Arabidopsis thaliana: one gene and its partners. The protein of the gene in region 2 interacts with the protein of the main gene of each other region in a pairwise test. Each region holds a gene or a part of one and is shown on either strand. Other genes may lie near its edges.

The links.
Region 1: the proteins of AT4G01920 (region 2) and WRKY36 interact in a two-hybrid assay, tested with the Arabidopsis thaliana proteins (one large-scale study listed by BioGRID).
Region 3: the proteins of AT4G01920 (region 2) and AT5G64850 interact in a two-hybrid assay, tested with the Arabidopsis thaliana proteins (one large-scale study listed by BioGRID).
Region 4: the proteins of AT4G01920 (region 2) and AT5G50180 interact in a two-hybrid assay, tested with the Arabidopsis thaliana proteins (one large-scale study listed by BioGRID).

What each region holds. Positions count from the first base shown.
Region 1 is NC_003070.9:26,275,984-26,281,820, reverse strand, and holds WRKY36 (WRKY DNA-binding protein 36), read left to right. Parts: upstream 1-2,565; 5' UTR 2,566-2,704; coding exon 2,705-2,770; intron 2,771-2,949; exon of another isoform or gene 2,950-3,296; coding exon 3,297-3,833; intron 3,834-3,934; coding exon 3,935-4,048; intron 4,049-4,136; coding exon 4,137-4,583; 3' UTR 4,584-4,873; downstream 4,874-5,837. Other genes in the region: AT1G69800 (Cystathionine beta-synthase (CBS) protein), read left to right, coding at 5,496-5,543, 5,677-5,837. UniProt on the Arabidopsis thaliana protein: Transcription factor. Interacts specifically with the W box (5'-(T)TGAC[CT]-3'), a frequently occurring elicitor-responsive cis-acting element.
Region 2 is NC_003075.7:827,584-833,391, reverse strand, and holds AT4G01920 (Cysteine/Histidine-rich C1 domain family protein), read left to right. Parts: upstream 1-2,103; 5' UTR 2,104-2,312; coding exon 2,313-4,289; 3' UTR 4,290-4,566; downstream 4,567-5,808. Other genes in the region: AT4G01925 (Cysteine/Histidine-rich C1 domain family protein), read left to right, coding at 114-219; AT4G01915 (uncharacterized protein), read right to left, coding at 5,095-5,180, 5,264-5,319, 5,762-5,794.
Region 3 is NC_003076.8:25,919,170-25,924,615, forward strand, and holds AT5G64850 (sorbin/SH3 domain protein), read left to right. Parts: upstream 1-2,232; 5' UTR 2,233-2,415; coding exon 2,416-2,433; intron 2,434-2,696; coding exon 2,697-2,975; intron 2,976-3,821; coding exon 3,822-3,869; 3' UTR 3,870-4,249; downstream 4,250-5,446. Other genes in the region: ABCF5 (general control non-repressible 5), read right to left, coding at 1-524.
Region 4 is NC_003076.8:20,428,167-20,434,168, forward strand, and holds AT5G50180 (Protein kinase superfamily protein), read left to right. Parts: upstream 1-2,286; 5' UTR 2,287-2,949; coding exon 2,950-3,062; intron 3,063-3,302; coding exon 3,303-3,435; intron 3,436-3,525; coding exon 3,526-3,721; intron 3,722-3,958; coding exon 3,959-4,083; intron 4,084-4,166; coding exon 4,167-4,325; intron 4,326-4,402; coding exon 4,403-4,717; 3' UTR 4,718-4,980; downstream 4,981-6,002. Other genes in the region: AT5G50175 (uncharacterized protein), read left to right, coding at 1-315.

The DNA of each region.
Region 1 (5,837 bases), on a different chromosome or scaffold from region 2:
AGTAACTATATCTAGGGTAGAAAAGTAATTATTTGTGTTCAGACCATATGAATATGTTCATTCAAAAGTATAAAGCCCATCAAGTAAAAGATAACAACATAATGCGACAGTTCATTAACAAAAACATACGGCCCATCAACACTTAACAACAATCGAGATACATGGAGCCAACTCTTTCTTGGTCAAAGTCCGAATCATTCATCAAGCTGCACCAACCTTGCCAATGAGCGACTTTCGGATGTACACACATTCAATAAAACACCTTTTAAACAAGATGTAATTTTTTTCTTTGAATTCTTGTGACGACAAATGAGAACTAAAGAGCCTTGAAATAAAAAAAAATTGTGCTTTTCCGCATCATTTTTGATAATTTAAGATTCAACCCGTCCGGGTTGGTCCGTTCGTGTTTCGACCAATATTATAAGCCGATCGGATCCGTTTTTGAAAGAACACTTGTGACTTGTGAGATTAAATTTTTTGGTAAAGTGTGACTTGCGAGATGATAGTAATATGCAACAATGTCACAAAAATAAAAATAAAAGTAATATGCAACATTAAATAACCAAAATTTGACTTAGCCATTACGATACAGTTTAAATTATGCGATGGATTCTGGAGCACGATGTAAGAGATCATTGACTATAATATCATTATTGTGTAATAAAAAATTATTTTTTGCATTTTTAAAATTATAAATATTTCAACTATCTAGATTATTATAATACCACTAGATTGGAATGACATCGTATATATGGTAGAAATAAAACCGGATCCTGCGCTCCTTTCTCTCCTTATTATTGGTCGACTTCAAGGCCACGAAATCGAATATTATTAATTTACAATGACATTTCGGATATAAATTTAAATGTTTAATCTAAAAAGTATACTTTATTTGAAATAGGATAATTTCAGAAGAATCTTTAATTATAAAATCCTTATATATGTCTGTATTAGTGATTTAGCTGCTCGTTACGAATATATTAAAACAATAAATAAAATTACTTCCATAGACAAATGATTCAGGTTTAAGACGAGATTTGACGAAATCGTCTAACGATGATGGAGTATAAGTTCAAAATAAAAGTTTGTGTGGAGCTATAAGAAATATCCCCAAACAATGTAAATTGTATTCGGAATCCTAATTGTCTCAGTTTTAGTTGAAAATCTTTTTTTTTTCTGGTTAACACACTAAAAGAAGCAAATGTAGTTTCTAAGGAAGTCCATCCTAGTTAAAATCTTGAAGCCGACGGTGTAAACCCACTCGGATTGTGGAAGATGAATTTTAGGAGTCGAACAAGAGACCAGTCTGGAGAAACTTTGAGTTGCATGATATAGCTTGTTATAATTGTATTCTATGATTGAAAAAAGTACTGCTCGGTTTCTTATGATCTCATTGATGCGTGTGAAGATGAAAAAAGCTCTGTTTGATCTTCACCAAAAAGAAAAGTTATTCGATAAAGTATTCAACTAATATAAAATGACCATTCGTTGTTTGTATTATCATTCAATAAAGCAGCCTTTCTAATATTGTACTATTCTTTAATAAACCCCTTAACTTACGTTTCCAAATAGAAAGTTCTTGCATTAGTCATAAATTAACATTTCATAAACTTTTCATTATGAAATTCTTATAATTTTATAACATTATAAAATTCATGCAGTGTCTATTAATTAGCAATTTAAGACTAACATAAACTTAATCAACTCTGCCAACTGGTCAACGTAATTAAGTAGCTGCAGATCGATGATGTGTCATTTTTTCATTGGATCAGAGAACAAAATGCGTTTTACAGCTGAAAGTTTCTTTTACAAAATGCACTCATTTCATGCGGTGTCCGTTAGTGATTAACGCTGGATAAATAGATTGCTTTATTCAATTTGAAAAAGATCAAAATATAGCACATAAATAAAAAAAATTAGAATATTTGTTCCGATCATAAATTTATGCGTATACAGTATATGTGTATTTTTATAGGATTAAAGATACATATAAATTTCTTATATTTAATAGATATCGTTAAATGTTAAAGAAAATTTATCTAAAAACTAGCTAGTAAACATACAAATATATCACAAAAAATACATTCACCCCTGAACTGCCTATAAAGAATGATTGTGGATTAATTTTTGACATATATTAGGTCTAAGAAAAAAGAGAGAAAATATTGTTTTTTTTCTCTCTCAGCTTTTGTTTCCCATGCATACAGCTTTATGTTAGCGAAGAACTAGTATGATCTGGTACTCCGGTACTCCGGTACAGACGAAAGAAAGAAAGAAAAAACTTGTTTTAGTTGCCTCAATGTCAACTACTATGCTTTAATTATGATGCCAATTAACAAAAAAAAAACGAAATATTCCGAAGTAGTGTTCAGACCAGATCCATCTGGATTGCAATACAATTTGATATTATTTATATGATTGGCATTATCTTATTATATAATGCTGAGTCGTCTGGTTGAGATTATTCAAGAATAGAGACGAAGCTGGTAACATGGTGGTGGTGATTACCATTATAAACAATATTTTTAGTCTGTATATCTTCTTATTAAAATGCGAAGTCAAAGTCTGTTGGCTTTGGGTCCCTTCCTATAAAAACCTAGTTAGGCAAAAGAAAACGACAATAATTTTTTTTTTGATGTAAAGAAGAAAAACAAAAAGAGCAGATCCAGTTGATCTCAAGATCGCATCTGAATCATATAATAGCATGATCAAAGAGGAGACCGTTTCATACTTCCAAACTTTCGATGGTGTTATGGCAGAATCTGACAAGGTAAAACAAAACACTATTTCTCGATTTAACCGTTTAAACCACAAATTTCTCTAATTCTTGTTTTATTTTCAATCTCCTTCTGGTGTTTCAATCGGTTAGAATTAATCTCATGATCATATGATTCTGTTATATATTTACATATAGTTACCATATAATTCTTATGTCTGAAATTAATACAGTTTTACTGCATCTGATAAAAGTCAACTTGCTTGTTCGGAAATGGTCTCGAGTATCGAAAGTTCATTATTTTTTTTGGGACGGTTATTTAATGCTCAAGGATACCAAGATTTTCCGGTATTTAGAAAACTTCGGATGAAAACATTTATAATTAAGATCCGCTCTAATTAATATAGGTCGGATCGATCCATTTTTTTTCTTTTTTTCTTTATTGGCATTCGATCATGTTCACTTTTATAATACTATTTACTTTGTGTGTATTGAGAACTATTTATCGTAGAAGTTTAGAAGATAGGTCCAAACAGTTTTTAGATAAAAAGTGAATATAAATGTGTCTTGGATATTACAGGAAGAGGAGCTTGATGCAACAAAAGCAAAGGTGGAGAAAGTTCGGGAAGAAAATGAGAAATTAAAGCTCTTACTCTCTACGATTCTTAATAATTACAACTCTCTTCAAATGCAAGTCTCTAAAGTTCTCGGACAACAACAAGGAGCTTCGTCTATGGAGCTAGACCACATTGATCGTCAAGATGAAAATAACGACTATGATGTGGATATATCACTTAGGCTTGGAAGATCAGAGCAAAAGATCTCTAAAAAGGAGGAAAATAAGGTGGACAAGATTTCTACTAAGAACGTAGAGGAGTCAAAAGATAAAAGATCTGCACTGGGTTTTGGATTTCAGATTCAAAGCTATGAAGCCTCGAAACTAGATGATCTTTGTAGGCAGGTTAAGCTTGCAAACGCTGAAAATAAATGTGTATCTTCGAGGAAAGATGTCAAATCAGTTAGAAATGAAAACCATCAAGATGTTTTGGAGGAGCATGAACAAACAGGTTTGAAGAAAACTAGGGTTTGTGTTAAAGCATCATGTGAAGACCCATCAGTACGTACCATCAAAACCATACATTACATATATGTGTTTATTTACCATTTCACATCTAATTTAATTATTTGATCATATACACGTTACATGAATATATATAGATAAACGACGGTTGCCAGTGGAGGAAATATGGTCAAAAGACTGCGAAAACCAATCCTCTCCCACGAGCCTATTACCGTTGCTCCATGTCGTCAAATTGTCCCGTTAGAAAACAGGTATAATACATTCTATAATTTCTCAATCCAAATATCTGTTTATTAACAATTGGTTTTGAGTAAAAACTTTTAAAACGAATGTCTATAGGTGCAAAGATGTGGAGAAGAAGAAACCTCCGCTTTTATGACAACGTACGAAGGAAACCATGACCATCCTCTCCCCATGGAAGCAAGCCACATGGCAGCTGGAACTTCCGCGGCTGCCTCCTTATTACAATCTGGCTCCTCCTCTTCCTCCTCCTCCACCTCAGCGAGTCTAAGCTATTTCTTCCCTTTTCACCACTTCTCTATCTCCACCACTAACTCGCACCCGACTGTAACATTGGACCTCACACGACCAAACTATCCCAATCAGTTACCAGACGACTACCCTCTATCGTCCTCCTCTTTCAGTCTCAACTTTTCCTCTCCAGATCCTCCACCTCCATCATCGCATGACCACACCTTGAACTTTAGTGGCTTGCGAACACAAGCTCCGTTGAGTACAGATTCATTATTGGCCCGTTATCGAACGAGACTTTCCGGACAGCAATAAGCCAGTAACTGTATCGGTATAGCTAGACACAAGTCTAGAAAGTAACTGATTTCCGTTTTCTTTGTCATTCATTTGTTTTTCAGCCTCTGAAAGAGAGATCTGGTTTTGGCATGATATGCAAAATGCTTATATACTTGTAGATATCCAAATGTTTAAATTAGTGGATTACCTATCATATCATGGATTATATATGTATATGAAGGTTTTGTAAATTAATGGTCTACACAAATTTGATACACCAAATATTTTTTTATGCTTATAAAAATTTTAAATACAATGTTAATTTTTTTTGTTGGTGAATTAAGTAAGTATGACTATGATGACACAATGATATCTAAAATGGAAGGTGGTTTTCATGCAGATTGACAAAATCTCCCTCTTTCACTTTTGCAAAATTGTTTGATTTTTACAAAATAAACTTTAGTTAGCATCACATAAAATAGTGGGTTATTTGACAAATTATCAACACAACGTATTATTATTTGAAATCACATACGTATTGTTTACTAATTTGATTATTATTATTTTTTGCTACAGACATTTACTAATTTGATGGTCAAAATTGTAGTCACCATTAAAATTATTTACATAAAAGAATTGATTATTTTACTTCCCTCAATTATCAAATATAAATTTGTGATGAATTTGACCGAAATGAAGATGTCTGAATTGTTTGAGCCACCTAAATGTTTAGATGGTCGATTCTTAAAAAGGAAAGAAAACAAAATGACCAAAAGAAAGAAAACGTATGAAACTATGATCCATCAGATATTACTTTTAAATCAATCTTGGGCTCAGGCCCGTTACTACCGTTTTCTATCTTAGAATTCGGCCCATCCACGTCAGCGACTCCGGTTATAACGCTGTTAAACTCTTTTGACACACGACCACTTATTATAACGTCACGTGTCAATGCACTTCATCAGGACGCGCGTAACCGCCAGAAAAGCGAAACCAAAGGTCCATCTCCGACACGTTGCTTATCCGACCACACTCACCACTGTTCTAAATTCTCTCTTTTTTTTTTCCTTAACCAAAAAAGCTCTCTTTTTTTCTTCTGGGTTTCATCGTTTCCAATCTAAAATCATCGTAGATTTGTTTGAAATTCTTCAAATTGAGCCGGTATCAAGACATGGCGGGAAGTGAAGCGGTAGAAGATAAGGAGATAAAATCGGCGGTTTCAAGCTGTGAAGCGTATTTCGAGAAAGTACAATCAAGGAAGAATCTACCCAAATCTCTTCAAGAAACCCTAAA
Region 2 (5,808 bases):
ACAATGTGTGTGCTCGGAAAATTTTTAGGGCTCATGCCAAAAAGCACATTAAGGCGTTGGAGCAGATCATATAAGGTTGTGCTCAATAATAGTGTATCTCGTCCATTTTGCAGCTGTTGTGAGTTGCGTTGCATTTTTCCTATCATCTTGAAGAGACTTGGAGCCTCACAAAAATACTGTTGCTCTCCTTATTGCGCTAATGCAATGAGTGTGAATTAAGATGTCTAGCGAGTGGGGTTTCCTTAAAGATTTCCTGTAACCATTTCTTTCACAAGTTCATTTCCATTATAAGTTGATTTCCTTAATGTATTATTTATCTAAGAATCTTGCAATTTTAGTTTGATACGATCTTGCTGTTTCAAATGCTTTCTGACATTCGTTTTCTACAAAATTTCACCTTGAAAATGAACAACACAATACTATCAGTCTTGCATTATCATGATTGTCAGCTTTTCGCTTCTTTCTCAACGTATTGTATAGTCTGTTTCAGGATCATTAGAAATAGTAAGAAAGTAAACCATTGTTGCAAGAAATCTTGGCAATGGCGTCTTCAAACAATTGTTGTTTCAGATTACTAACATAAAAACAGGGACTTCAGTTTTTATTAGGAACAGAGTTCCGATGTCTGAGAACCAGGACAGATGTTTTCTGCATAATTCATTTACAGTTAAAAACACATCTTGATTGATTCAACATGAAACCAAACACAGACTCCATTCATTATTATTCGCAGAATCTAGAGACCGAAATGAAAATGTTTTATCAACATGTACACACGTTTTAAGGCAAGCCAAGATTTGTGTCTTTCTTTTGAAAAGAAAAAAAAAAGAAATTAGATCTAAGAAACTTGCAATTTTAATTTGATATGATCAGCTGTTTCAAACAATTATGCCTTGTCTTTGGAATGAAGGATCTTTACTTACGCCGTTGTATTGAACATAATGCCAACTACTGGTTATTGCGCTATGTAATGCATATGAATCAAGATGTCCAGAGAGTGGGCTTTTCTTTTAGATTTCTTGTACCATTTCTTTTACATGTTCATTTCCATTATAATAAGTTGATTTCCTTCATGTATTATTTATCTATGAATGTTGCAATTTTGACTTTGACGATCTAGCTGTTTCAAACGTTAATATGAATATTAATTCCAAGATCTAGTGAATTAAAAAATAATTGAGATATCCAGCTCATAAAAAAATAGTTCAGAGTTTAAAAATGGATCCGAATCCAATGTTTTTAGATTTCTTTCATTTTCATTTTTTATATAAATAGTGCTAATTGATACGACTAAAGAATTAAAAATTGACTATTTTAAACTAGTGGTTCATTTTAATAAAATAATACTAATGATTGATATTGTAAAACTATTTTTCCGTTTACTTTTAAATAAGGTTTTGTGCTAACTCATCCATTTTGCAACTTTATTTTCTACCTCCAATAAATGCAGATTATTTTTATGAAGTCTAAAATAATACAAAATATGATCTTTATATATATATATATATTGTAAACGTTTTTACGGTTATATACATTAGATTTTTAAAATTTTGAAGGTAAAGTTAAATTCTTCTTCGCGAAAGTTTTAATTTAACATATTATTATCGATATTTTACAAAATTGTTGGTAACAAAAAAAAAGGCAAAAGAGGGTTATAATGCATATTATTTTATATTGTTAATGATTAATCTGTATTTGATGGAGGTAGAGGTTGAAGTTGCAAAAATGGATGAGGTATAGTGGTTTTTGCACAAAACCCTTAAAATACTTTAAAGATAATAATTTATTTTTTTGTATATCTAAGTTAAGTAATTGTAAATAAATATTAAACATTGTAACTAAAAATAAATAAATAAACATAATAAATAGAATGAATCATTTACTTGAGAGTTAGAAGATACATCAAAATGATAATCATAGAAAAAAACACCAAAACGATTGTTTATAAAATTAATTCAGTTGATGTAAATTATTAATTATTATAACTAACAAAATGCATGAAAAAACCGGCACGGTGCGGGTTTTGGGCCTAATTATTTTTTATTGTTAATGAAAGACCAATAAAACCAAAAGTCTAATAAAAAAATAATTTTGTAAGGGCATCGTTGAGGATTTGAGATTAACGCAGAGAAGACTTTTGAGAGAGAAAGGAGCTTAGCTTTGAGATTTCAGATCCAATCTTCTTTTTCATAAGAGCATCGTTGAAATTAAAGAGAGAAGACTTTTGAGAGAGAGAGAGAAACGTGAAAGAAACTTAGCTTTGAGATTTCATATCCAACTTCTTCTTCTTCAAAATCTCTTAGTAAACGACCATGGATTCTAAGGGAGTGTTAATGCCGTTGATCCACGAGCATCTTATGATGCCTTGGAAAAATCTGAAAAGAGGTCCTTGCTGTGGTTGCTGTGGACGCTTTGAAGCTATCAGTGATGGATACTACTGCAAAACCTGCGATTTTTTCGTCCGAAAAAATTGTGCTGACGAGCCCTCCGAATATATCAAGCATCCATCTCACCCCAAGCACACTCTTCAGCTGCTAAGACCTGAAAGACCTACTAATTTCTGCAATTTGTGTGGAAGGATGTGCCCAATATTCTATCGTTGTGATCTATGTGACTTCGACATGGATTTATACTGCTCAAAGTATCCACCACCAGAGGTTATTGACATTTCCAAGACGCATCACCACAGGCTTACCCTTCTCAAGAAGTGGATCAAGCAATGTATATGTGCTAAATGTTGCAAGATTATTGGTAATGAGTTTCCTTACAATTGTCATGAATGTGATTTATCCTTTCATGTGGATTGCGTATGGTATCCGCCCGAACTAGAACTCCGTTTAGAGGTAAACCATTCTTACCACTCTTTACACCCTCTTAAACTCTACGCAAAGGGTCAGTTACCGGATTATTCTGATGGGAAATGTCGTCTTTGCGCAAGAAAGATTGATGAAACATTTTTTTTCCATTGTTCTCCGTGTAACTTTACCTTGGACAAGGTTTGTGTTTTGCGCCCACCACAACAATCTCTTCTGAATTTGAAAGCTCATGATCACCAACTCACCCTTCTCCCAAAACTCGATTCTTTTACATGCAATGCTTGCGGGCTGAAGGGAGATCGTAGCCCTTACGTATGTTTTCAATGTGGTTTCATGATCCATCAAGACTGTCTTGGCCTTCCACGCCTCATCAACATTAACCGGCATGATCACCGTGTTTCTCGAACTTCTGTTCTTGGTGTTGTGAATTCTGTATGTGGAGTTTGTCGCAAAAAGGTGGACTGGTCTTATGGAGGTTTTTCTTGTCAGAGGTGTCATGGCTATGTTGTTCATTCAAAATGTGCTACTAGAAAAGATGTGTGGAATGGGAAAGAACTTGAAGGATTACCCGAAGAAACAGAAGATATAGAGCCATATGTGGTGATAGATGAAAACACAATACAACATTTTAGTCACAAAGAGCATTACCTAAGACTCAACGTTAATGGTGTTCTATGTGATGACAACAAGCGGTGCAAGGCATGCACCCATCCCATCTGTCTCCAGTCTTTCTACGGCTGTATGGATTGTAACTTCATTCTCCACCAAAACTGCGCTGGATTTCTTAGAATGAAATGGCATGTGCTACACAATGAACGTCTTACGTTGGTTACAAACAAGGATGAAGGCTTTAGGTGTTATGCTTGTGATAGATTGTCCAATGGTTTCAAGTACCAGCATGGGAATAAGGCATTCGATGTTCGGTGCATTTCAATTTCTGAGCCACATATCCATCCAAGTCATCCTAATCATCCCTTATATTACTTTCCATCAGACGAAGTACAATGGTGCACTGGTTGCAACATGGAGCAGGACTTTGTGCTTAGTTGCATTGAAGATAATTGTGGATTTTTATTATGCTTTGGATGCGCCACTTTACCACAAATGGTAAAGCATAGAGTTCATGATCATCCTCTCTCACTATGCTATGGCGAAAAGGCAAGTGGTAAATATTGGTGTGACATTTGTGAAAAAGAAACAAATCCACATACATGGTTCTATACGTGTAAAGATCATCAGGCTAGTTTGCATACAAAGTGTGTGCTTGGAGACCTTTCAAGTCTCATGCGAAGAAGCACAATAAAAATTGAGGGCACTTCATATGAGGTGGTGCTCAATAATAGTATATCTCGTCCATTTTGCAGCTGGTGTAAGATGCATTGTATTTTTCCTATCATCTTGAAGACACTTGGAGCCACGAATGAATACTCCTGCTCTCTTGAATGTGCAGAGTGTAGATATACAGACCGTTAAAGCCCAAAATGAAGCAAGATGTTTAGCGAGTCGAGGTTTTTCTTGTAATGTTATTTTTTTTCTTTCTTACGAGTTCATTTCCTTTATAAGTTGATTTCCTTAATGTATTAAATATCTAAGAATTTTCTGGCACCAAACTCCATATACAATGTGTGTGTTGTAACATATATCATATGAGGTGGTGCTCAATAATAGTTTATCTCGTCCATTTTGCATCTGGTGTGAGTTGCGTTGCATTTTTCCTATCATCTTGAAGATACTTGGACCCTCGGATGTTTAGCGAGTAGGCTTTTCTTTTAGATTTCTTGTACCATTTCTTTTACAAATTCATTTCCATTCTAAGAAGTTGATTTAATGGTACTTATGGCATGTATTAGTTATCTAAGAATCTTGGAATTTTAATTTGATATGATCAGCTGTTTCAAACGTGTTATGCCTTGTCTTTGGAATGAAGGATCTTACTTACGCCGTTGTATAGAACATTCTGCCATGCTACTGGTTATGGAGGTACCATTGAACGCTAATGTTTCAGATGGGATGCCATAGAAATTCACCCAACTGATCAAAGAGAACTTCTTAACTCAAGAATGTTGTGTCATCATCATTCCCACCAGTACTAAGATTGACATTTTTTGAAGAGCAAACTATAACCATGATAGACATTCAAGAAGATTCCCTAAGCATAATGTCAATGTGCATTCTGTTTCAGATCATTAGTAATAAAGTAAACCCTTGTTGCAAGAAGTCTTGGGCAATGGCGTCTTCAAAGCATACACATGACTGTTTCTTTCAGATCATCTGGTATTCAGAAACTACAATGCTTTGAAGACGCCATTGTAGCAAGTTCTGTGTGTAGACGAAGTAGCACGTTGTCGTCCACGTAACCAATCCCTTCACCAGAAAACAAAACAAAAAGAAACAGAGTATTCATGTGTATGTTTTTGTTTGAATATGTCTGTATAAACACTTATTACCTGGCCAAAGATCTCTATGTTTGCTTCTGGATATATAGTACCACAGATGGAAGAATCTGTTAAGCCAGGTTATGACAATCTTTAGACTGACTTCTGATAAAAAACAAAGAGATGGTTGTTGAAGCGCGCAGTTTACTTACTGCATTATGAAGATTTCGGCTAAAGGACAGGCGACACCAAGGAGAGTGGCAATGGTGAAGCCAATCCAAGTTTATCCAAAGAGAACCAAATAAATTCTGCTAAGGCAAATAGAATGTAAGCTTCTATGTTGTCTGAAACTCCAGCTTTGTAGATTTCAGAACTTAGCTCTAAGAACAACACCAGTGCTCTGTTTCATTCACCAAACCATATAGAGTTTCACTTCCACTGTCCCCAAAATAGTTATACTTCTACACAACAATACATACTCACAAGAGCGAAATTATGGTTTTGTCACAGGTTGCAACGTGGAGGCTTTATAGAGGTTCTATCATCCAAGAGGAGTTGTAGTAAACATACTGTACAGTAAAATAAGCCAAGCAAGAACGGGACCTGAAAAAACACAC
Region 3 (5,446 bases), on a different chromosome or scaffold from region 2:
CTCATCGAAACCTCAAATTCCTGGCTCAAGAAAGCTACTTTCATATTGGGTTTGGCCTTGATTACGTTACCAGAATCAGGCTCTTCTTGACCAGTGATAATCCTGAGCTGAGTCGTCTTCCCAGCTCCGTTCACACCAACTAACCCTACTTTCTCACCTCTCTTCACTTCCCATGTCACATCTTTAAGCACAGTCACGCCTTTGTAGCTTTTCCTTATGTTCTCTAGCTTCACACCTGAAGATATCCCAGAAGCTCCGTTTTTGGAACTCTTCCCGTTTCGTTTCCGATCGGAGTCTTGCTGAGAGGGTTGCTTCGAGAAAAGAGATTCGATTTCGTCTTGACGCTGTTTAACGGAGGTCTCGAGGCTGATGGTGGAGACTTGGGCTCTGATGGTGGAGATATCGCGTCTAGGGTTGGAAATGGAAGAGATTTTGATGAAATTGGAAGGGATTGGAGATGTACGTAGACCGGTGAAGAAAGTTGAACGGAGGTCGAGGCTATGGAGATTCGTTGATAAACCCATGGTTATATGTAGCGATAGAGAGCGCGAGAGAATCTCGCTCTACTGAAGAAGAAGAAGAAGCAGCAGAGTAAGAAACCCTCGAGAGAGAAATCAAAAGCTTTGATAAGAGTTTCTCTCTATCGTTTTGAGCGTGAGCCACCAGATTTTATTTGATTTTTTTATTAGTTTGTATTTTTTTCTCTATATTCGAAAATATATCATTATCAATTATCAATAAATAAAATCAATACTTAGAAAATAAATTAATATTATTGACGACCAAAAAAGAAAAACCCAATAAAATTATCTTCAGTTATCACAAAAAATTGGAATGAAAATAGTGAAAAATCGAAATATGTATGGAGCATGAAATATGTATGGAGTACTATTTTACAATAAAAAATGTATTTGGTTGCAATGTTTGTAAGTACTAATGGTAGTTGTATTGCAACTTTCTATGAATGACAAGTAAATGCATTCTACGATTGTATAATTCTAGTTTTTGAAGACCATATTTTGATATAATGCCAAAGGAAAGAAGTGATACAAATCGGAGTATTCATTTTTACTAACTTTGAGTTCTCTGCCACATGCAATGCAATGTTCTTACAAAGTCAATAAATGGATATGAAATAAAGACAAATATAACACACACAAAAAACAAACGAAAGAATCTAATTTTGTGGTGAGGAAGAAGGAGAAGAGAGGGTAGAAGTCTTGAAGAGATAACAAATCCGGTGAAGTTACCTCTTTTGTGGTTCACATAGCTCCTTTGAAAAACAGACACTTCTCATACTCTGCCACGTGTCTAACTATATCATCAACCACGTCAGTTTCTCTGTGGATCTCTTCACGCCACATCGTCACGCAACTTGATTTCTTTTTAAATTTATAGTTTTATTAAGTTTTTGGTCGTTATGTATATGGTTTTAGTAAGTTGAATTCGTAATTACAATTTTAAATGAATATGCGTCAACTTATTCACCCGTTAATTTTAAATTGGCTGTTCATGGAACTTAAAACGTACGAGCACACATCTTTTTTCTCAAATATGACTGAAATAGTGAAATTGGAAATGAAAATTAAGAATCAACATGTATATATATCATGTAACGGCTCGCATCATTAAACATGAATTTATGTTAATCGCCTCCATGACTAAATAGTTCGGGATTGTTAATAGCAGTCATACAGTTGACGAAGCAAAGTCGTACTTATTTATATCTTATTGTGGACTTTTTTGTTGCTGTAGATGATATTTAAGTGGATACAGATTCACTAACGTCGGCTAGGTTTGATTTTATCTAACAAAATACACAAAATGATGTGAGTTTTTTTTTTTGGGTTCTTAGTGGAGTCAGTGTGTGTATTCATTCAGTGTTCACTAACCGCTCTAGGAACAAAAAAGATAAATGAAAATGAACTAATCAACTCCAAACAAATTTTGCTTAAGCTATTGGAAAAACATATCACTATAAATTTAATAAAATCAGTTGCCGGCCTTCAAATCTTCACCAATAAACTTATGTTTTAATATCATAACTTAAAGGTTAGACCATTAATCGACAGTATACTAAACGACGTCATTTAACAGGAAATGAGAGCAAAGCTGACGCGGATTAAGCGTGTGTGCGTGTCCGAACGAATGGCAGTATCGTAATTAATGCACAAAAGCTAACCTTTTCCCGAAGCAGAAAAAAACAAAATAAAACAAAAATATTTTTGATATGTTGTGTACAGTATAGTTGTATCACCACCAATCGACCTGTTACTTTGCTGTATTAAATTTTGGTATACTTTTTCTTTCGCTTATAAATTGCTCTGTATCACCCATCTTCCTCCTAAGATCATCTTTAACTTATTATAAAAAAAAAAAACAGGATTCACTGCTAGCTACAGAAGCTTTGATCACATGGAAGATCGAAAAGAGGTTTTTATTTTTTATTTTCTGGTCTAATCCCTTCGTCTTCTGTGTTTTCTCCTTACATAATATTAAAGTTAAAGTGATACATTAAATAAAATGGGATGTTCATGTCAACTTCTTGCATTAATATTCGATTTTGATGTGAGAAATTAGTCTCTGAATCTTGGTGAAAAAGTCTTTTTTTGTGTGATTGATTTTTAGGATTGTGTTTTTTTCTTTCTAATGGTTCTTGAAAATAAAAGTAATTGAAATGGAGATTTATTTGGCAGAACAAGAACTCGCCATGGCTATCAGTACCACAGTTTGGAGATTGGGATCAAAAAGGAGGATCAATTGATTACTCAATGGATTTCTCAAAGATCAGAGAGATGAGGAAACTCAACAAGAGAGATGCTTCTCGAGCCAGTCTTGGCAACGAGGAAGAACTCATTAACCCTTTTCATGATCAGCCTCCTGTTGATACTGCCAAGCCTAAGAAGCTAACTACGGTTCACAGTGACAACAACAACCGCAATGAGTTCTCTCACCATCACCCACACTCTCCTTCTGTAAGATTCTTGTTGCTCTATCTTAAAGATTCATTGTTTTGAATGTCAGTCCATTGTATATGAATTTGTATTAGCTCCTGCGTTCATTGAAACCGGTAGGTAGGTGTTTTGACTTGGTTAGGATATGAAATCCAACTTTTTAGCCTTATATGGTTTATTTCTGGCAAAATGGGTAGATTTTGTTTGGGTCACACATTGTTTACCCTAGTTCGTTGTTCATGCTCATACCAATACCAAACTTTTGAAACTTATGTTTTTGATTGCATTTACATGTTAACACTTTGAATATCCATTGTAAGATTCATATTTTCTTGATGAATAGGATGATAATGTTTGTGAATTGTTCATTTGATGTGGACCTTCTTGGGTTGGTTAGGTTTGAGAATCTAATATTGTAAGCATTATATGGATTCTTCTAGCAATTGGGTAAAATGTGGTCCTTCAATGTTTGGTCAAGTTGGTTGCTTATTGCTGTTTATGACTACACATGAAATTAATTTTATATACCCCACCAAACTTCACAACTTCAGATTTTGAGTTTAAGTTGGATTTGGATCTTGATTGGATATGATTGTGATCATATGGTTAAGGAATCACATGAATGCATAGAGTATGTTTTATATTGATGATAAAATATTGAAAAGAATATGTAAAACTATATTTTAAAACAGAGTAAACTTATAGTAGTACATTACCCTACAAAGTTATTATAATGGATTCTTTCTTTCAATCTGAGTAAAGCATAATCCTTTATTTTGTACCTACCATGTGAAGTGACATAAATAATGTTGTTCTTTTTTTTGGATAAAACATACTTAATCTTGTTTGTAAATGACTTTGGAACAGAGGAGGAGAAGAATCTTCAGCTGCTTCAACTGTTGCGTTAAAGCTTAAAGGTGTTTACTTTTATTTATGATAATAACAACAAGGGGTGATATTTGAAGACAGAAATGAGAAATGGTAGTGCCACCTTGTTTTCCACATGTGTTTCTTCGGCTGCATCACAATTAAAATTTGTCTGTTGTTGTTTACTGTGTATCTAACTATGTTTGCTAAATGTCAAGTGTAGTAATATATATTTTTTGTAATTTTTGTTTGGTGTATTTAGACACTGATAATTTTCATTATTGTGTAATGTAGGGCAGATTTGTGATACATTACGATAATGCGTTTTTAGATTAATGAAAAAAAAATGAATGGTGTTTACTCGAAAAGTATTCAAATATCATGTTTGCATATATAACAATGAAGTTACGTTTAATAAAATCATCCTCTCGAAGTTGTAGAGATATGGATTACAACCAATTGGCAGGAAAAAAAAAGCCTTAATCCATACGAAGTTATGGTGGTGGAATTTATAATGGATATATGCAATATCAAACAGTAGTTGTTTATTTATTGGTGTTGTATATAATTATGATTTTATAAAAAGTAAGACGGTTAAGTGAATCTTTTGTTACCGTTGTGATAGATTTCCTTTTAGTTTTTGCAACTCAAATAAGAAAAGGAAACAATCGAAATTTCCTTTTTTCATCAAACAAACGTTACTTATAAATACACCCATTCTCTCTTGTTCTTCGAAACCCTAATCCAGAAATAACAAAATTCATCTTTTTCTTTCTCTAGTTCTCTTCTAGAACTATGAAGTAAACCGTAAGATTGACTTCATCCGTAAGATTGATCGGAGCAGAGAAAGCATATCTTTTCGTGAATTATCTCCATCCTCTGTTGTGAATACATCTTAAGTCAATCCAGATCGATTTCATGTCTCAAAGTCTCCCATAATTTCACTCGATCAACGATCTCGGCGGTGGATTCTGACGAGGACGGCGAAGGAGAACAAGACGACGAAGGATGCGAAAGCGGAAAAGAGGATATCTAGAAGACATGGACAGTGAAAGCGACTAGCGAGTAGAGAACCAAATCATGATATGTGTTTGGTTCTGTTCCCATGTCCTCCGTCCGTCCGGCGACATCATCTGAAAATCTTGTGTTTCGTCAATCACAAGCAAAGGTATTTCTTTCTTAATTTCCTTTTCTATTTTTTGTTTCTTTTATTAAAAAGAATTTCAAACTTATATTATTACTTTTTTAATTAAGTTATATTATTATTAAACTATTTTTATATTCAATATACTTTACACATAATATAAATTTTTAAAACTTCTTTTTCTTTTATTAAACAATGTTTGTAAACATATTTTTATATTACTATTTAAACTTTAAGGGTTTTCTTTTTATGAAGTGTTAAATTTTCAGATTTTGTGTAAACTAATTGGATACATCATCCAAACCCGTAAGAGGTGTTCTAGGTTCAATATGGTTTACACTTATTTTTGATTTTTGACACTTGTTTTTCTTTTATTAAAAAATATTTTTAGAATTATATTTTTATATTACTATTAAAACTTTAAAGGTTTTCTTTTTATTAAGTGTTACATTTCTAGGTTTTGTGTAAACTAATTGGATAC
Region 4 (6,002 bases), on a different chromosome or scaffold from region 2:
ACAACCACCATTACTCTCTCATGTCTCATCTTCTTTGTTTCTTCATTCTACACAATCTCCACCGCTAAATCTGTCACGAATCCGCTCTATCAACTCCTTCTGTTCATCGGCTTCTTCCTCGCTGCAGCCTTGTCGCTTGTTTTACTGGTGGCAGCAGCACGAGCCACCATGGTTGCGTGGATAACGGTCCTCGTCTTACTGGCCTTTTCGGGTACACGTCGCCGTGTTTTAGCGCGGAGGGGGAAGACGATCACGGCGGACGTGGCGATGAGCTTGTTCAGGGTTCTGATTAGAGAAGCAAATCCTCGTGGTTAGTCTCATGAAGATTGTTTGTTGTTAGAGAGTATTTACATATCACTTTTGTATATAACAAAAATATATGTATTTTTGTGAATGATTTTTCCCCTTTTGTGTATTTATTTATTCGAATTTTAATTTTAATATATACATAATGTATGTGTGCTTTAAATGTTTATTCAATACTTCTATAGTTACAATTTTCTATAGAATTAATCTTTAGATGTTAAAAAAATGTTTTAATCTTTCTAATACGAAAAATATTTATTGAGTTATTTCATATCATAATCGGGGATTCTGATCGCAATTTTGATATTAAAAATGGTTAAGGAAATAAAACCAAAAATGATCTTAATTTCCTGCCACTGCATATTTCACTATAAATAAATGGGATCAGAAAGTTTACAGTTTTCTTCTCTACTATACTACAAAATTAGTTTAGCTTTCTAAAATAAAATAAGGAAGAAAACCTTAAGTAAAACCAATTACATGTCTAAAATATACTTACAAAAGATCCTCAATTATAAATTTTAAAAAGGTTGTTGTAATATCTCATATCCATTTAGATGACGTCACATACAATTTGCTACCTCTTGTCACTCATTTAAACATACAATACGTTGTACTACGTTGCGACACTTTCACTAGACTGGTGAGATATTTAGAACAAATACGTCAGCCCGATAAGAAATATGTTTTATATTCTTTTACACAAATCTAAGAATGGATTTGTTAACTTGAGATATCTTATGGTTTTTGTTTATGATTTATATCATAAACACGCTTAAGTTACATCTTCACGAAGATACAAATCTGAACAATGTAGATGATGATATGATGCCTCTTTTCTCACGTCATGGATTGATTCTGCGATTAAACGTAAGGTACAACATCTTCATGTTTGTTGTCCTTCAGATGGTATTTGTAATATCCCCATGTTTTTCTAGCTGCAAGACTCGGGTATCCTTAAATCTCGTTGATGTGACCATGGATGATGCCGAGTTCGTTTCTTTACCTTATGCTGTTATGCATTTGTAACGTATTTGGTCTCCCAGTGAGGCCACCTTTGCAAGACTTGTCTCTTGCTATCCTGTATTGGAAGAGTTAAATATTGTTGAATGTTGGAATCTTCCGGAAGTCATTCCGGCTGAATTTTTTTGTCACTGATCAAGAGACTCAAAATAAAGCTATGCGATTCTACGGTTGTACAAGTACATATAAAGATAAATATGGAGTTGTGACTGATGCTCCTCTTTTACGCGATTTGTTTATTGATGATGACCAAGCTGGAAGTTATTTAATAAACAATTTGAGTTCCACTGCCAAGTTAAATGTTTATCTCGCCTTTGGTTTGGACAGTTTTGATGAAGCAACAAGGGTTTCATCGAGGAGAAGTAGCATCCACAATTTTCTGCTCGGGATTTCAAATGTCGGGGAAATGATCATATATCTAAACACTTTAAAGCTATATATGTCATGTCAATTCCAGTATAAGACATGTACGTTCTCTATCATGATTCATGAAAGTTTATGACCTACATTACTTTTCTTTTTGGTTCGAGATCATCTATCAATACTCAAAATTAGAACCGCTTCCTCGGTTTGGTTACATGTCCCACATGTATGCTGATATTTATGTACCTAATTGGAAATGGTTAAAAACATTTCTTGGGAGTTGCCCAAACTTGAAAATCCCTCATCTTGGTAATGATCTGCTAAACTCTAGCTAGTGTGAATCAACTAGTGTTCATGTGTTGTTGTAGCAAAGCTTCTCTGATGATGAAATGCAAAGAAGAAGCTACAGAACTAAAGAAGAACAATGGAAGCATTATAGGTGTGTATAGTACTAATGAATCTCTTTGCTTTTGACCACAAAGCAACCTACTTGGTTCATGTTACACAATCAAATTTGGTTCCAAATGTCACATATAAATAATAATTAAGCATAAAAATTCCCTATTTATAGCCAATATTTGCTTCTGAATATTACTCAAATTAAACCTAAAACTCAGAAGAATGTTTTGAGAAACAAAAGCAAGAAATTTTGAACCATGTGATATGTTTCACCAATCAATCATATAAACTTCTTCTGGTTTATCTTTTTATTATCCTATCATTACCACTCCATACTCATAACTCTCTCTGTCTCTCTATCTCCCTCTCCACATCAAGAAGAAGTCTCTGCTAGTTCCAAAACAGAACAAGTGAATCCCTCAAGTTTCTTATTACAAAACCCAAAAACCAAAGTGAACCAGTGTTGTTGTTTGTACTCACAGATCCATTCTCCACTGATTCATTTCTTGCTCTGCTTCTTCTCTCTTAGTTTTGTTAAGAATCTTCTCTTATCCATTGTGTTTTTTCTATTTTATAAATACATATATAATTTTAGTTGGGGGAGAGCTTGCCTGGTGTCGCCTTCTTCTCTCTCTAAGACTTGTGCTTAATTTACGGACATGTGAAGATACTTCGCTTTTGCCTCATCGAAGGGCATGTTAGCTATTTACTTATCTCTTCTCTTCTCTTCTTTGTCTTGTGAGCTCTCAAATCTTCATAGATACAAATCAAGAAAGTGATCAAACAAAAAAAGGACAAGTCTTTTTGGTATTTCAGATCGAGAAAAAATGTGGTTGCAAGGTTTGAAGTAATCTTGCAATGGATTCTTTGACTGGATTTAGAATGGAACCCAAATGGCAAATTGATCCTCAGCTTCTCTTTGTTGGTCCAAAGATTGGTGAAGGAGCTCATGCTAAAGTCTATGAGGGAAAGTAAGCTCCTTTCTTCTTCTTTGTTAACTTTCTGGATTTGATTTGCTTATGAGATTATTGGGAAAGTTTGGATTTTGATTTGTGGGTAAGTGAAGTCTAGTATTTGTTCTATAAGGGTATGAATAAAATGCTTGTTTGGTACACTCATCTATCTTGATTTGTCTAGTTGAATTATTGAAATTGTAAAGTTGGAGTTTTTAATGGATCTCTACTGTGTTTGGTCGTTATGATCTGAGACAGATACAAGAATCAGACAGTTGCTATAAAGATAGTTCACAGAGGAGAAACACCAGAAGAGATTGCTAAAAGAGATTCAAGATTCCTTAGAGAAGTAGAAATGCTCTCACGTGTTCAACACAAGAATTTGGTCAAGGTTCTTGTTTCTTGAGATCTATGGCTGTTTTTGTTGTTACTAGCTTAAAGGGTTTCATGAGTTCATGATTGTGTTTTGTCTCTGGATCAGTTCATTGGTGCTTGCAAGGAGCCTGTAATGGTGATAGTTACAGAACTTCTTCAAGGCGGTACATTGCGTAAATATCTATTAAACTTGAGACCCGCATGTTTGGAGACTCGTGTGGCTATCGGTTTTGCGCTTGATATTGCTCGTGGTATGGAATGCTTGCATTCCCATGGGATCATTCACCGTGATCTCAAACCCGGTAAAACTACCTCTTTAAACCTGATATGTATCATTTAATGATCTGCTTAAAGTATTTGCAAAACACCTTGCTTCATGGAAACCACATGCTCAGATCTCAATCACAAAGAATCTTTTCTTTCTTTTTTATTGTCTGACACCACACACGCTTCAAGTTCTTTTAATATTCTGGTTATGATTAAGATTTAATCTTAAGTGTTGAAGATGGTGTTAAAGGATCTATTGTTCTGTTTTGCAGAGAACTTGCTTTTAACTGCAGACCATAAAACAGTAAAACTAGCAGATTTTGGATTAGCAAGAGAAGAGTCACTGACTGAGATGATGACGGCTGAGACAGGAACATACCGATGGATGGCACCTGAGGTTCTTCTTTACTTATAGACATATTTGTTCATTTCTTGTGCTTCTCTTTGCTACTTAAAGACAATCTTGGTGGAATATTACAGTTGTACAGCACGGTAACTCTTCGATTGGGAGAGAAGAAGCACTACAATCATAAAGTCGACGCCTATAGCTTTGCAATAGTTCTTTGGGAGCTTTTACACAATAAATTGCCTTTTGAGGGAATGTCAAATCTCCAAGCAGCATATGCAGCAGCCTTCAAAGTGTGTAACACTGTCTTGTTTTGCTTTTGATTTTCGCTGAACTTTATTCTCTTTGTTTTGACATGTTTCTTATACAGAATGTGAGACCAAGCGCGGAGAGCTTACCGGAGGAGTTGGGCGACATTGTAACATCATGTTGGAATGAGGATCCGAATGCTCGGCCCAACTTCACGCATATCATTGAGTTACTTCTTAACTATCTCTCTAAAGTTGGATCTCCGATATCCGCTATTCCACAACGGATTCTTGCTTCGAAGAACACGCTATTGCCACCGGATTCTCCTGGAACTAGCTCTTTGATGGCTAAGCTTGATGAATGTGGGGAAACTCCAAAGGCCAAAAGTGAAGACAAACGAAAAGGTTTGTTTTTCTGCTTCAATCAATGTTATTAACCTTGAAATCACAGAGTGGTTTTAGGACCAGAGATTTGGTAGACATCACTCAAATTATTCATGTAATAATATCCTCCCTACCATATGAATTTAGCAAGAAGTTCATTTATATAAATAAATAGTTATGTAATTGTAATGAATTTAAAAGTAGACGTAAAGAAAAAGTTTCCTAAAGAGGCTCATGTTCCCTAAATGAGAAAGTTTTAGTTTTGTTAAATTTATCGTTTTCTATTTTTCTATCTCTTCTATTATCAAGACTCGAGGATTAAAGAAGTCAACTCTTCATTTTCAACTTTTTTTTTTAATCGTTTTGGTTGTGATTTTTTTTCGACCAATTAGTATCACAAGATGTCGAACTTTTGAAAACCAAAGTTTGATATCTCAAATGCTACCAAGTGTAGGTTATGTGGCTTAGCCAAAGCATGTGTCGCGTGCTTCACGAAATAAGGGACAATTGGTGCATTTAGCGTAGGGATGAAATTAGAAAACTAGAAATGAGAAGTTATCTCAGAGGTCAAATTCATATTTGGTTATTGATTCACGGATCAAATATCCAAATGACTTCTAGCCAAACCGTTAGGAGAAAATCCGTCGGTTGAGAATCATATATGGCGCTGGTGAGTGAGACCACCGAAAACAAACTTTATATTTATGAATATAGTACGATTCAAACGAATCAACATGACACTGGATGAAGACATCGGTGGTATGAATCTTCTGATTTTGAATCTGGTAACACCATCACCATCCAAAATAAGAAAAAAAAAATACGAAAAATGATTAAAGAGAGCGTCTCCCATCCCAATTACTAAAAAAAAATGGGAAAGAAACCACCCGGCAATTGCTGGTAGCCGTAAAAACCAAACAAGAAAATAGATATTACTTTTGTCCTCCCAAAGATTTTGTCCAGTTAACCAACTTTTCGAAGCCATGTCTTACGTTTTCAGTATATGCCTCTAAGGCAACTTGTATTTTCTCAAAGTGTGGTTTCCATATTGTCATAACTCGGCTTACCTAGAAAAACAAGTAACAATGGTCACAATGTATAGTGCAATGTCAAAAGAGAATCAGACATAATGAATAAAGATGGAAACATATTAACCTCAAGATAGTCGTAGGAAACGTCGAATGGTTGGGTGAAATGTGGGGTCAAAAGCCTGCTTACATGTATGTAACACCTCGATGGACTTATCGGTTAAGTATTGAATTTTTGGTTGGAGATAAATGGTTAATGTCACATACACATCTTTGATGCTTGGAATCCATTTCTGTGATATCTAAGAGA